Sus scrofa: one gene and its partner. The protein of the gene in region 1 interacts with the protein of each later gene in a biochemical or structural test. Links are inferred from orthologs where the notes say so. Each region holds a gene or a part of one and is shown in the gene's direction. Other genes may lie near its edges.

What was found.
Region 2: the proteins of POU2F1 (region 1) and POU2AF1 are reported together in a solved structure, tested with the Homo sapiens proteins (2 studies listed by BioGRID, with this or other methods). The link is inferred for Sus scrofa from reciprocal best matches to the Homo sapiens genes POU2F1 and POU2AF1.

The regions. Positions count from the first base shown.
Region 1 is NC_010446.5:83,622,807-83,626,456, reverse strand, and holds part of POU2F1 (POU domain, class 2, transcription factor 1), read left to right. Parts: intron 1-1,563; coding exon 1,564-1,705; intron 1,706-3,650. UniProt on the Homo sapiens protein: Transcription factor that binds to the octamer motif (5'-ATTTGCAT-3') and activates the promoters of the genes for some small nuclear RNAs (snRNA) and of genes such as those for histone H2B and immunoglobulins.
Region 2 is NC_010451.4:39,124,278-39,127,784, reverse strand, and holds part of POU2AF1 (POU domain class 2-associating factor 1), read left to right. Parts: intron 1-2,284; coding exon 2,285-2,415; intron 2,416-2,879; coding exon 2,880-2,922; intron 2,923-3,012; coding exon 3,013-3,278; intron 3,279-3,507. UniProt on the Homo sapiens protein: Transcriptional coactivator that specifically associates with either POU2F1/OCT1 or POU2F2/OCT2. It boosts the POU2F1/OCT1 mediated promoter activity and to a lesser extent, that of POU2F2/OCT2. It recognizes the POU domains of POU2F1/OCT1 and POU2F2/OCT2.

The DNA.
Region 1 (3,650 bases):
AATAGCTACTACTATCTACATGTGACTATTGAATAACTTAAAAGGCAGCTAGGGCTTCTGAGGAACTGAATATTTAATTTATCTGATTTGAATTAATTTAAATTTAAATAGCCATATGTGGCTGGTGGCTATCCTATGGGAAAGATTAGAATATAGATCAGTTCAGCTGGGGTTCAAGTACTCTTGGTGCCTCATTTTATCTTCTAGTTGCAACATTTCCCTTCTTAAACTTTTTGTCAGAAGTAACTCACCAGTAAGAAAATAGAGTTTAAAAAGAAATGTTTTTTCATTTCCCTGACTGCCACGTAATCAGGTGCTAATAAGTACTGTACTATCCAAAAGATGGATTATAGGAGTTCCCTTGTGGTGCAGTGGGTTGAGGATCTGGCATTGTCATTGCAGTGACTTGGATCACTGCTGTGGCACAGGTTCAATCCCTGGATCAGGAGCTTCCACATGCCATGGGCATAGCCAATAAAATAAAATAAAAGAAGGTAAATTAAAAAAAAAAAAAGATGAATTTAAGCAAGAGAAATCAAAGGACTCTGGTAATCCTAATTCAAAATGGATGTTGCCAGGATATGGGAGTTGGCTGTCCTTGGTAAGATTAGCTATGTAGTATTTTGGACCAGAAATGTTGCCTTTCTGCCGTCCCTAAACTAATTGAAATAAGACCATGAATTATTTTCACTCCATGAGCTTCTATTACCTATACATACAATAATGATTCAAATATGGCTTTTCCAGCTTTAGCAAGAGAGATTCACATGGAGGAAAAGCACTGTATACGTTTCAAAGGTTATAGGCTTACAGAGAAAGATATTTTTTTGTAATATATTCAGGGGATCATTGTTCTATTGCTATAAGGTTACCACGTTTCCAGTACCCATAAAGGTTTGACTAAATGGGTCAAACCTCTCTACTGTGAATTTCTGTCTCTATAATGGTTACAAAAGTAGTCTTTTTAGAATACCTGGTTTTTGTAACAAACTTTGAAATCCAAACTAAGGGTGGAAAGATTTTTTTTTTTTTTTTTTTTTTTTTTTTTTACTGCTTCCAGAAATACTTTACAAGAAAATAAAATAAAAGGATGAGGCATTTAAAGTGATTTATGGGAAGTTTGGTTAGTTCAGAAACACCTAAGTTTATCTAGACAGTTACATGTTTTAACCCTGTGGTGATAGAGATGAACTGATTTTTAAAAATTACATAACTCACTCTGGTTGCATCAATTAACGGATTTGGTAGAATATCAGCACTATTTTTTGAGAGTTGGTGGAAACATTTGATATCTCAGTTATTATAAAGGTAGCAAGAAAGAGATTCAAGATAGATTATGGGACGGTTGTGAATATTGTCATGATCAAGGCCCAACAGTCTTCACTACAATATTGTGCTTAGTTTAGGGGTGGATTTTGTGGGACTCACTAAGTGGAATGTGTTGATTCTTTGTCTAGAACAGTTATTGGAGTAGCACCCTGGAGTGAAGGCTGTAAACTTTAGTGAGATGAGTCTTTTCTTTCTCTCTTCCTCTTCCCTCTCCTGCTCTATATTACTCTGCAGGGCGATGTTGGGCTTGCTATGGGTAAACTGTATGGAAATGACTTCAGCCAAACTACCATCTCTCGTTTTGAAGCCTTGAACCTCAGCTTTAAGAACATGTGCAAGTTAAAGCCACTTCTGGAGAAGTGGCTAAATGATGCAGGTGGGTGAATATATTAAAAATTTCCTCATTTTCCATTGAAATTTCACAGGAGGTATTATTGTATAAATTGAGGTTTATGGTTCTTATTACATTATTGATACTACAGGACCTTGAAACTCACTAATTTTGGAAGGATCAGTATAAATTATGACTACATAAATTGGAAAGCTAATTCATTTAAATAATCTAGTAATTACAAGGTATATAATCAGCAATACTTTTTAGCCTTGGAATATTTCTTGTATTTGAGCCCAGGGTGAGGGACAGCTGAAAGAAGAGGATAAGAAAGGCTATATATTTAAATAAACTTGAAAAATAAGATTATTGGTTCTTCCAATGAATTGTGATAAATTTGTTCCTATAATATTTCTGCTTTGTTTTTTAAAATGACATATATTGGTATGTATATACAATGGAATATTATTCAATCACTTGTTCTTAAAAAAGTCATACACGGAGTTCCCATCGTGGCTCAGTGGTTAAGGAATCCGACTAGGAACCATGAGGTTGCAGGTTCCATCCCTGGCCTTGCTTAGTGCGTTAAGGATCTGGCGTTGCTGTGAGCTGTGGTGTAGGCCAGCGGCTACAGTTCCGATTAGACCCCTAGCCTGGGAACCTCCATATGCCATGGGTGCAGCCCTAGGAAAGACCAAAAAAAAAAATAATAATAAAAAATAAAATAAAATTAAAATAAAAAAGTAATACAAATGAATTATATACAAAACAAACAGATTCATAGACATAGAAAGCAAACTTACAGTTACCAAAATGGGAGAGGGAGAGAGGAAGGACATATTTGGAGTATAGGTTTAATAAATACAAACTACTATGCATAAAATAGATAAACAATGAGGATTTACTGTATTGCACAGAGAATTATATTCAGTAGTTTGTAATAGCCTATAATGGAGTATAATCTGAAAAAAAAATTTTGTAACTGAATCACAGCAAAGTGATTCAGTTACAGCAAAGTGATTCAGTTACAAAATATTGTGAATCAACTATATTTGTTTTTTTGTAAATGACCATATATTTCATACATTGAAATTGAGCTGTTGGTTTTTGGGGGGTTGTTTGTTTGTTTAACTTTATGGCTGTACCTGCAGCATGTGGAATTTTCTGTGCCAGGAATTGAATCTGATCCACAGCTGAAACCTATACCGCAGCTGAGGCAATGCCAGATCTTTTAATCCATTGTGCCTGGCCAGTGAATTGAACCCACATCTCCATAGTGGCCTGAGCCACTACAGTCAGATTCTTAACCCACTGTGCCACTGCAGGAACTCTGTTAGTTTTAACTTAAGTGTTTTGTGCTGAGGTTTCCTTTTGGAAAATTTGAATTTTGAGTCACAGAATCATTGACCATGAGAGCTGTAAGGAACCATAGAGATCCCCTATACTATGGTTCCCCCTATAAATGTGGGCATAAATCAGGTCTTTGGAAAAGACAGACCTATAACTTCCAGCCTTATGTAGTCTGATTTTGTAGTTCTGGGTTTGGCTCACTGGTCTCTTCCCTCCATCTCATTTTTTTGTAGAGTGGAAAGAAACTCAGAGAATTCTGTGACATGCCCAGGGTCATTAAACAGAACCTTGTTTAAACTTTAAAGTGTATAGAAGTGTTTCATTATGTGTCTGGTTTGGGGGAAGGGAAATACCAATGAAATAAAATGAGAGGTCATTTGCAAGATAAATGTTAAACATTGAATATTTTCCAAGAAGCTTTCTTCCTTTTATCCTTAGAGCTAATAAATAAATCAGCAAACAACACCAAAACATAAGAACAGAACTGAGAAGACATAGAGTTAAGGGTAGGGGTAGTAAATTTCTGCTTTCTCAGAAACAAAACAGAGAGTGGCAGTGACAGTATAGTCAACCATTCTGAGACAAAGAATGCCAAGAACAGTGGAAAGATCCATGGTAGTAAACTATATTTTAATGTGGA
Region 2 (3,507 bases), on another chromosome or scaffold:
ATAACATATCGAACATCAGCCTCATGTTGGACACGGCTTGGGAGCTCCCTGTGTATTATTATTCCAGTTAATTCTCACAAGAACCGTGTGAGATAGGAGCTATTATTTCCATTTTACGGATGAGGCAAGTGAGGCCTAGGGATATAAAATAGATCAACTGAGACTTTTTCACCAAACACTGACCACCCAGATTTAAATACAGGTATTGTTAGCTCTTAAGTCCATCGTCACTGATGCTTAAATGAAGTTGATGGTGCATAAGTGGTCCCAGGGCACGGGTACCAGGCTGGTTCTCTCTGTGACCCACTACCGCTTCAGCCTGAATCTCAAGTTGTAACTGTTCTATTCTTGCCTCTCCCACCAGATGGCAAGATGCGTGCAGGCAGGTGTGTCTTGCTCAGTGCTGGCTTCCCAGCGCCCTGCCATATTTGAGAGAATGAAGGAATACCAGGCAAGCGCCCTTCTTAGGACAGGAGAGGTTAATCTCCTCTTGGGATGTTAGGGGGAGATCAGGGTTGAATTAGCAGTGGGTCTCATTCCAGCAGAGTTTCAGAATCACCTGAGGGATTTTGATGTGGATCCATAAGCCCACATCAGACCCCAGGAATCAGACTTTCTGGGAGTGGGGCCTGGGCATCTGTATTTTGCATCACTCCCTCATTGCTCCTGCAGCTTGGTCAGACTAGGAACCTCTGTGAATGCATCTGAGTCTGGGGTTCTTGGCTTCTGTGTCATATGTTCCCGAGGCTCTTGGACACCCCCTCCCTCTTCCCCTGCTTTTCTGCCTGGGCTTCGAGGACAGGCCATGTGTGTGCCCAGAGCATGGATGGAGATCTGGTGCTAGTCAGGCCTGGGGTCTTATCAGCTGGGTATTTACTGAACAAAGTTCAGTTAGGGCAGCACTGTGGATCCGGGTTTAATAAATACCTAGGCTTCTGGGCTTTTGATGCAGAGCCCGAGCCCCTGGGCCTTATCAGTGGATGATAGTAGACTCCCAGTGTGAGTCGTAAGGCCCAGCGCTACTCACCTCTCGTGGCTGACCCAGGCCTGCCCTCCAAGGGCCTGAGGCTGCAGGCTGTGAGCCGTCTGGGAGGGCAGACTCTCATTGCCCAGCCATGGCTGCTTTTGGCTTGCTCTCCTGGCCAGGGAGAGCCCTGGGTTCCAGCTCATGGTGCTTTGGTTTCCTGGCATTGATGATAGAAAGCAAAGGAAACTTCTCTCAGCAGCAAGCCTGGACTTTGGCCCAGGGCACACGAATCACCAGTGGGTATTTGTCCTATGTCCTGGGAGCCACAGAGAACCTGGAAACCATTCACTGCAGCCCAGTCTAAAGGTCCGGGAGGGGTGAAGGGAAGATGAATGAATCATCATCCAACCAAATTAATCAATAAAGAACTTACTGAGTTCATAATGAACATGCCGCGTGGAAGGATACAGAGAAATAAGGTATAATCTTTCCCCCCGAGGAGTTTGTAATCTGGTTATAGGGGTATAAGAAATTTACGGCAAAAAGGATTATCAACTATTATACAGCAGACTTCAAATGTCTTGAAAGCTTCCTCTGTACCTGATTTTATACTAAGCATGTATCATGCTTCCCATGTGCTATGTCAGGGACTCCTTATGACACCCCTTTGATAGGAAACTGCAGGTTAAGGAGCACAGAGAGATTTAGTAACTCACCCAGAATCACACAGCCAGGATGTGGCAGGGGCGGGTTTTGAGGCCTGTGGCATCTGACTCAGAGTCCCTGCTCTTGTGCCGCCCTCTGCTGCCCCCTCTGATGAATGCTAATAAGCCTGGAAGTGTTGAAGAGGCAGCAGGCTGAAGCAAATTCTGTGGACTGCAGTGGTCAGCTGGGGGGTGCACTAGACTTGGGTCAGGAAGACTCAAGAGGGTGAGATAAGTGAGGGGGAATCCTGACAGTGGGAAATAACCAGTAAGGATAAGGAGGGGAAAGAGTCGAGGAAGATGGAGAGGCGTCTAGATAGACCTTCTGGTGGGAGTCAGGCCTTGCGTAAGGGTTAGTGTACAGAGGGGTTGGGTATGTGGGTTGAGATCATACTAGTGCACTTGGGCCTTAATCGTCTGGGTAGAAGGGAGCCCTAGAAGGTTGGAGGCAGGAGAAATGATAACCCTGGGAGGAATAGCCCGGGAAGTCTGGCGGGTTCCTGTGCCTTCAGGCCCAGCTTTGATGAGCCGGCAGACCCTGGAGGAGAGCGAGCACATTGGGGTGGGGGCTGGCTGGGAGGAGAGATGAGATCCAGTGCCCCTCTCTTCACAGCCGCAGCTCCAGAGCAGGCCCCGGCACCACCCCGGCCGTACCAGGGTGTGCGCGTGAAGGAGCCGGTCAAAGAGCTGCTGCGGAGGAAACGAGGCCATGCCAGCAGCGGGGCACCTGTGGCACCAACCGCGGTGAGGGACTGCAGTGGCCCGAGTGTGTGTGTGTGTGTGTGTGTGTGTGTGTGTGTGTGTGTCGGGGGCGGGGGTGGGAGGGTGATGAGAGGAGTTGGGCGGGAGTGTAGGTCCCTGCCCCATGGGATCCTCAACAAGGGCGCAGAGGCCACTCGTAGCTGCTGGAAGGGGGCCGTTACCAGGGCGGATGAGCAAGTGTCTCACAGGCCCTGTGGGGGTTGCCGGCTCCCCTGGAAGGTGATGGCACTGTTCCCCAAGTGCACAGCCTCCTTGCTAAATGGAGACCAGTCCCTTGAAAGTACAGGTGGTGATGGCTGGGACACTGGGCGGGTTAGTTCTAACAAGGGAGGTTCCCACCACCACCCCAGCGCCCCCTGCCCTGGGGAGGCCCCCTGGGCAGCTTCCCCCAGAGGGCCTGCCCGAAGTGCTGAACCCTGAGCTTGGTCCTCCCTTCTCCCCTCTAGGTGGTGCTGCCCCATCAGCCCCTGGCGACCTACACCACAGTGGGTAAGAGCTCCCCGCCGCCCTGGCCTTCTCCAAGCCCTCCGCCCCCACCCATGTGACACCTGCCACTCTGGAACTTCCTTCTTCCCACAGGTCCCTCCTGCCTCGACATGGAGGTCTCTGCTTCCACAGTGACGGAGGAGGGGGCGCTGTGCACCGGCTGGCTCTCCCAGCCCGCCCCGGCCGCTCTCCAGCCCCTAGCCCCGTGGACGCCCTACACTGAGTACGTGTCCCACGAGGCTGTCAGCTGCCCCTACTCAGCTGACATGTATGTGCAGCCCGTGTGTCCCAGCTACACGGTGGTGGGGCCCTCCTCTGTGCTGACCTACGCCTCCCAGCCGCTCATCACCAATGTCACGGTATGTCACACGAAGGCCTTTCTGCACCCACCCCTGTGAGGGAACCCTCTAAGCACAGGGCTGACTTCCTGCTCCCTGATGTTCCTTGCTGTGGATTCCCAGGAAAATCAGGTCCTCCAAGCCCACCCCATCCTCCAGGGAGGCCTGCTTTCATTTCTGATGACTTCAAATATCTTTCCCCCAAAGGCTCTGGTCTCTTTTGTCATGGCTTATGCTCCTGCCTCTCTGT